Arabidopsis thaliana: one gene and its partner. The protein of the gene in region 2 interacts with the protein of the main gene of each other region in a pairwise test. Each region holds a gene or a part of one and is shown on either strand. Other genes may lie near its edges.

The links. Proteins that work in one complex are often made in the same cells at the same time.
Region 1: the proteins of AT1G05410 (region 2) and AT4G12450 interact in a two-hybrid assay, tested with the Arabidopsis thaliana proteins (one large-scale study listed by BioGRID).

Annotation. Positions count from the first base shown.
Region 1 is NC_003075.7:7,385,145-7,388,591, reverse strand, and holds AT4G12450 (zinc finger (C2H2 type) family protein), read left to right. Parts: upstream 1-1,660; 5' UTR 1,661-1,917; coding exon 1,918-2,751; 3' UTR 2,752-2,897; downstream 2,898-3,447.
Region 2 is NC_003070.9:1,584,867-1,589,382, forward strand, and holds AT1G05410 (CDPK adapter, putative (DUF1423)), read right to left. Parts: upstream 2,929-4,516; 5' UTR 2,730-2,928; intron 2,413-2,729; 5' UTR 2,403-2,412; coding exon 2,042-2,402; intron 1,858-2,041; coding exon 1,292-1,857; intron 1,225-1,291; coding exon 1,164-1,224; intron 1,066-1,163; coding exon 638-1,065; 3' UTR 505-637; downstream 1-504. Other genes in the region: AT1G05400 (uncharacterized protein), read left to right, coding at 1-194, 295-378.

The DNA of each region.
Region 1 (3,447 bases), on a different chromosome or scaffold from region 2:
AGAGAAATGAAATTGTAAAGGAGGGTCAGATTGTAACGACATTATACATAACTTAATACATTATTCTTCAAATTCGATCTTGTTCGATTAACAAGGCATAGAGACATCGAAACATCCACAAATTTCTAATTGAGGTTTCTGACATCTACATACTAGTTAGTGGTAATCAAACTCTTTTCTATATTACTCACAAATTAAATGAAATGAAAAAATCAATTTTTTACTTTTTTCAATGCATAATTCGATTTGTACCAATGGATAATTTGTTGTTCGATAAATAAGAGTTGTTTTTTTCAGAAAAAAAAAGATAAATAAGTGCGGTTTATGAGATATCATCCTACCTAAAATATGCAAACATTTTTTTTGTTCTTGAAATACGCAATTGTAAAGATCTCTAATCAAGGTTTTAGAGTGAAATAAAAATGTTGAAATTTTTCTATTCTCAATTTTGTTTAATTTGTAGCATTCATGATAAATAAAATCATTTTTATTTTCTATTTTCTTCCATTTATGTTAAAAAAATAGAGTAGATTTTCTTCTACTTTCCATAAGAGTAAAAAAATTATACTCTATTTTGCTATTTTCTCTTGATACTGTATATTCTATTTCTACTTGTTTACTCTCACTCTTTTCTACTATTTTCTCTAAATAATACTAATCAAACTCTATATTTAAGCTATATAATTATACACTAAATAAATATATTTTCTTGAAGGAGTATATTTTTTTAATCCATATATTTATACACTATATATGTTTCCCAGAATATATTTTCTTAAGCCATATATTTATATATTATATATAAATTATCCAATACATACACTATACATATTTTAGATGCAATAACATGAAGCCACTATATATAAAAATACCACGAAAATACATATCTTTTCTCAAAATTAAATTAAAGTTGTCGCTTCATGATATTGCAGCTTCAAATGTGACATTTTTGTCTTATTAAAGCATAAAAAAAAATTAATAGCGACGCATTACCTTTTTCTTCCTTCTCATAGTTCTATATATTTTTATATTAAAATTTATTTAGTTTGTTTCACCAACAAATTGTATGCAATTAGTTCATATAATAATTCAAAAAATAAACTGTAGTTCGTTTTGGTGAATCCGACATTCCAACATCATACAAAGAAAGCTACTATTTAAAAACACATACTATTAAAATTTGATATTCTTTTATAATTATTATGGAACAAATATTTCATTTCAATCATTCAAGTCACAAGGTTCAAAAAAACCAAGAATACAAGGATCATAAAGTTTAAGACAAAACATACAAAAATATTTTACAATGCTAAAAAGGGATAAATAAAATATATCCACAAAATATGTATAAGAGCTTGAAAACAAAAGCTAAAAAGCAATTTGGCGCAAGTAATAACATTATTTGTCCTGAATTCATCATCCAACTATGCATTGGATAGAACAATGGTCATAATCAATAGACCACAAACGATATTCTCGCTGACACAAGAAAAACTAGATCAAGAAATTCATCGGCAAGGAAAAAGATATGTTATAACTAACTTCAACATTACAAGAAGTTAACTAAAATGAGACATGTGTTAATTCAATCATGATTAACAAGGTAAAAGCATTGTACGTGGTTATGATACATAATTAGTTTCTTTTGTTTTTACAGACAAGAAGCTGGAAAATTCACGTTGACATTGGTCAGGACCCAAAATAAAAGGGGTAATATCGTCATTTACTACCATAAAGAAACACCAACCGATAAAACGTCCATTCTAAGACGGCGGGACAATGTTCATACTTCATGGGTACATTACATACATACACCAAAAACTTCAAAGCCCCCACAAATCTCTAAACATATCACAAACTTCAAATTTCTAAAGACACAACCCGGATCCGGTTCCAAATCAAAACACAACCCGAAATATGCCGATCGGGTGGGTCAAATCCTTACATTGCAAATCAAAAGCATTCGACGATGTCTATCATCATCACTCCAACAAAGGTAAACTCTTATTGCCAAGTTACAGCTGCAGAAAAAACGTTAGAGACGTTGTCAATACACAACCCGGAACCGTTAAGAAAAACCCAAAACCGGACCCGAGTTTAAGACGTTTATGCTCTTCTCGTCGACCCGAATTAGACTCCAATTCTCATCACCCGACCCGACGAAGTGTATCAGCTCGAGCTTCCTCGGAATCTGTATTGCCCGTATTGACCGATCTTCCTGATGGTCATCCGTCAAGAAACGTCGTGGAGATTATATTCCAATCTAGTTGGAGCTCCGATGAGTTTCCGGGTCGGGTTGAAATGATTTTTAAAGTTGAAAACGGGTCAAAAGCTGTGACCCGGTTTGAGGAATATAGAGAAGCTGTGAAATCGCGATCGTGTTCGAAAGTTGATTCTGATAGAGTTGACGGCAGCGCGTGTGATGAAAACGCGCGGTGCTCCGCTGATGGGAATGAGATGATGAGGTTTTTTCCGTTGGGTCCGATTCCGGGAGGGATAAACGGCGGCGCGTGGGGTTTTCCCGGAGGGAAAGGAGCGGCGGTTTGTACGTTTTCCGGTAGCGGAGAAGCGCACGCGAGCACTGGCGGCGGAGGAGGGAGGAGAGCGATGTTGATTTGTAGAGTGATTGCGGGTCGGGTTGCGAAGAAAGGTGAATTCGGGTCGGATTCGGTAGCGGGTCGAGCTGGTGAGTTGATTGTCTTTGATGCTCGCGCGGTGTTGCCTTGTTTCTTAATCTTTTTCAGATTGTAAAAAATAATAATTATTATAAAATTTATACTAATTTTGATTTATATATTTTGGTTCCATTTTTTGGTTTGTTGTATCTGCTTCGTATTTTTCAGATTTATATTTAACTTTTCGTTCAAAATATATTTTTGGTTGTTTTTAGGGTCCAATCTATATACTTATGTTTAAGGTTTAGACAATTTGGCAGGATTCGATATTGAATAAAATCATTGATAGGTAGCAAATTAGATAAGAGATAATTAGTGATACCGTTTTTACAACCATTAATTTTATTTATGTATGTGATTTGTAACCACTGAAACGATAAAGTTTTTGCTATGGTAAAGAGTTCCCAGTCTAAAAATAAAGTGCACTTATTCAATGCAAGTATATGAATATATTCCATCTGTTTCATTATATATGATGTTTTAGAGTTTTAATTTTGTTTCATTATATAAAATGTTTACAAGTGTATACTTTATTTAAATAAGAAACAAATTTGATTCAACGTCACTAATTACTATTTTTATGGGAAATATTTTCGTGAAAAATTGTTTGATATATATAACAAATGCAGCACATTTTAAAATTAATTCGTTGACTGCAAAAGAGACAACTCACATGCAGATTACATGCAAATATATAAAAATATACATTTATGTGTGTGCATATATTAATGAGATTTTTTTTTTTGGACAACCTATATACGATTGGTTAAGT
Region 2 (4,516 bases):
CCTCCACCCTCTGGAAAAACTTTCTTCTAGCTGATCCAGGGCCACTTGAGGAGGAGGAGGATAGCTGCAGTGAAACGCCTGGACCTGCCTCCTGGATTTGCTCTGTGTGCCGTCGTATTTGTGGCCCAGGTATTGCTGGCCAAGGCGTTGATAATTTCATCACGCATCTCTCTACTCGAGAACATGAACTCAAGGTAATTTAAGCATCCTTGCCACTTGTTTAACTATATTCTCTCTTTCTCAGTTGTTCTTTTCTTTGCCTAAATTTGACCCCGTCTGTCTTTTTCCTCGCAGCGTCAACGCTTTACTAACCCCAAAGGTGAGCCTCCTCTTGATTCTTGTCCGGAGAATGCTACTAGGGGTGGCAACCAAAGTTGATCATATTATGTTTTTGTATCTCTTTAAGGCCATTTAGCTAATTGATGGCTCCAAGTTTTTAATTCCATAATTGTCATTTTAAATCTCAATTTATGAAGGAGAAGACCTTTTCATTGTACCTTTTGTGCATTTGTTACTCGTAAATTGATTAATGAATAAACAAATGACCATCCAAAACTCAGATTTACGAGGAAGAATCAAAAACTTACAAAACAAACGTCATAACGAATGTACAATTATGGATGTGCTTATATAAATCTTAGTCCTCGATGTTTAGATGAAAGTACTCTTCAAGAACCCCTCTAGGTGTCCTACCAAATCCCTTGGCTACTTCTTCCATTTCTTTAAGCTTTGTGACTTCTTTTCTAATCTGATCCAATCTCTTCAGCACATTCGTCATCAAGCTATTCGCATCTGTACCTGATACTCGCCTCGACAGCTCTGACTTCTCCTTCTCGAGCTGCCTATACAGATCACTCAGACATTCTTTCTGAGCATGAAGTTTGCCTTCTGCAATTTGGTACTCAAATTCCTGAGCCTTTCTCAGCGCTCTTAGAACCTCGCCGATTTCTTCTTCGAGTTTGTGCATCTCAGCCTCATGGTTGAATGGTATGGGCCCAATTGGAGTCACGTCCTGTAAACTTTGCAATGTATCATTTTCTCTAGCTTCTCCACTGTCGGAGTAATCTACAACCAGAATGAAGATAATCTGTTATAATGAACAATAAATCAACTTCAATACATATTCAAGTCAAAGCAAAGGATCGTGATTAAGGGATATGTACCTGACCATATAGTTGGTGTATCATCATTCCAGAGATCTTCCAAGCTCGTGCCACATTTAAGCTGAAAAGAGTTGGCTTTAGTTTCAGGAACGTCCAGTAAACATTACATTTTACAAAGTATATTATACCTTGATGACTGTTGATTCGATACAATTTAATAGCTCCTTAGCATTGTCTCTTTGTGCTCCCCGCAAGATACAAATACCGAGATTCAGGATCTTCTCCACGTCGCCTTGATATTCTACAGTCTGACATATTTCTAGAAACTTGTTGACATGTGGAAACAAGTCCTTTTTGGCGTCACATCGCCTGCAGTAGTATTCAGTATCCAATCCCATGCTGCCTCCAATGGTTCCAGCCAGATAAGCTCGAAGAGCACAGTTCATATGAGCAACATGTCCACATATGTGACCCTCGGAAACCACAGCTTCACATTTGATATAGCTATAGCCTCCATGCTCCAAACTTATTAACTTGCAGCAAAGGATGCAACAGCAATCAACGCAGAACTTACGTTCACCGCAGCAAATGTCACAAGGCATAGCAGGTAAAGTCTCGGCTTCGCACTGTGGCATCAGGCTCCGGCATTTTTCATTACCAGCCTTACAGACCGCAGTATCAGATCCATCATCACGCATTGGATCTTCATCTGAGCTATACACTGGTAACTGAACCTGCTTCTGAGGCAAAACACCTGTCAAACAGAGAACAAATCACCATGCCAAGAAATCAGTAACTTGTTCAGAATGTTGAAACGTAATTCATATGGTTAAGAAGAACTAACAGAAACATGCGATGAGAGAAGCATAAGGAAAAACATAGTAAGTCTACTGGAATTGTATATATTTGAGTAAAGCATCATATAGAGTAAATTGAACCTTGACCATCTCTGCAGGGTATGCTCCAGCTGAAAGAAGCAAAGAACTTTTGAACATCCGCTTCAGGGAAGTGTACACGAATATATCGTTGGAGCGAGAGCCTGCTCCTAAACACCTTATTTTTCCGCAATATTTCAGTATCTAAACCGGGAAGATACTTAGGAGGATATAAGTATCTATCCACGAAGTAGCCTTTACCGCTAATTCTCGGTCCAACCTTCCAATGCCAAGTATCTCCAGGATTAGGCCAATTCTCAGGAGCATAAGGTAAACCTTCACCAGATTCCAATGGACTTACTGGTCTCAGCAGAAGGTGAGGCGATTCACCTATGTTACTTTGATCAATATCCATGGAGTCCATGTTATAAGACCTGCACTCAATCACAAAACCAATGGAAGCAGCTTCAATAAGAACAACATGAAGGAACATTAATCAAATATGCTAGATACACTACTGATATAGCTCAGTTCCTATACACACAAGAGAAAAGGCTCAGCTACAAAACTAATTTTCAATTTCTTAATCCAAACAGAACCAATATTGTCAAGAAAAAGACCCAAATTGAAACGCATGCATAATATTTGTTTAAGAGCAAAACGAGTTTCGATTTCACGGTGAAGCAGAAACTGCAAATCAGGCAAACGGAATCCATTAAAACCGACGAGGAAAGGAAGAAGAGAAACGTACAATCTCCAGAGACTTCAAGACTGATTAATTTCAGAAGATCTCAACGATAGTTACTTCTTTCTTGGCCATGAAAACCTGGAGCTTTAAAACGACAATGGTTGATGCTAGGGCCGAAGTAGGGGCCTTGGGAAGAACAAGAACTCGAAATTCGGAGGAACCAAAGTTTTATTGTAGGGTTTGAGCGAAGATCAAAAACATCAATGTATCAAACATTTCACATTTCAATCATTGGGCCTTCTTGGGCCTATCTTTAAAAAGCCCGGGTCGGGTCGGAGTAATAAACAGTAACCGGCTTGGTTCACAGGGATTGGTGGGTCCATGACAAAATTGTAACATTGCAATCAGGCAGTATTTTGGAGAGTTTGAAAACGATATTGAATGTGACAGTGTCTTATGACAAGAGATATCTACAATGGAGTTTTATGTGAGTCTGATGTTCACACTCGAAAACTTTCACAAGTTGAAGAATCATGTGATTTTGTATCTTGATGTCAATGTTTCCCATTCATGGAGCTTTTGTCGACAAGTTTTGACATGTCCCTACAATATAGCAACAACACTTGTGTGACATAGATATTGAAAGAGAGATAGATATACCCATTCGCATTTTTATAAGATTCCTCTTGTGATAAATCCAATGAAACTATATGATGATTTCAAAATAATACAAAAATAGAAATTGATCTCAATGTACCTTCCAAAGAAAAATGACAACGTGTGGGGCTAAAAATTGCTGTACCATCATATCTGACACCTTGATTCCATTTTTTTTTTATACACCAAACAATGAGTAGAGCATAAAGGCCTTTCGTATTACAAGCATTTATTACTTACCATATTTAAAATAAAAAAACTTACCATATTATTGTCGATCTAGTATATATATATATATAGATCGATATTTCTACGTATAAATAGGGCGATGTTGTGTGACATGTCTCTCAGTCACCACTTTTGGCGGGTTCTCGTCGACAGAGATTGATCAAATCTAATTATTATTGTTGATGATAGAAAGTTGTCATGCATAGATTTCTCAAGCGAGAATATTCATTAATATAGGATTCTCATTTTTTAATTCTTCGCTCTGAAGTTGTAACCTAGTAGCTTGTACTAGGTACATGCCATGTTGTAACATTGGTTAGATATTTGTAAATTTTAGAGGCTTTAAATGCAAAAGATTATATTCGGACTACTCGATCATAAATTTTGGTCTAGTAATCTGCTTGAACATTGATTTTGCGGAGCAATTCTTGATGAGAAGCAATTTTATGATTTTATCCCAAAACTAATCGCGACATGATCATTCGGTGAATTTGTTGCTAGGAGAAACAATGGTCTAAGATAAACTGAAAAAGGGAAGAGAACAAATATTAGTTAAGATTGATCAATGAGAAGTGAAGTGAGTCAGTGTACTTTGCACAAACATCGATCTTTCGTCTTTGAGTCATGAGATGGCCAGTTTAGGTTAGTCCAAACATTGCCTCCTCGTGAGTTCTTGCTGTATATATTTGCAAGGACAATAATTCCTCTTATTTGGCGTTAATTTATTTATTATGTCTAGAGTTCGTAAATGAATTGAAGAAAATTATTTACTAAACAATAAAGGTTTTGCTCTCCCCGCAGAATTTTTGCCTATGACATTAAGAAAAAAAAAGCGTGAAAATATAAAGATAAACAGTACAATTTTGGATTATATTGTTGAAGTTTACTCATATAATTTGTATATGTTGATAATGGAGAAAACATATAAATATTTGCATGTCCGTATATAACCTTATTTCCCTTCT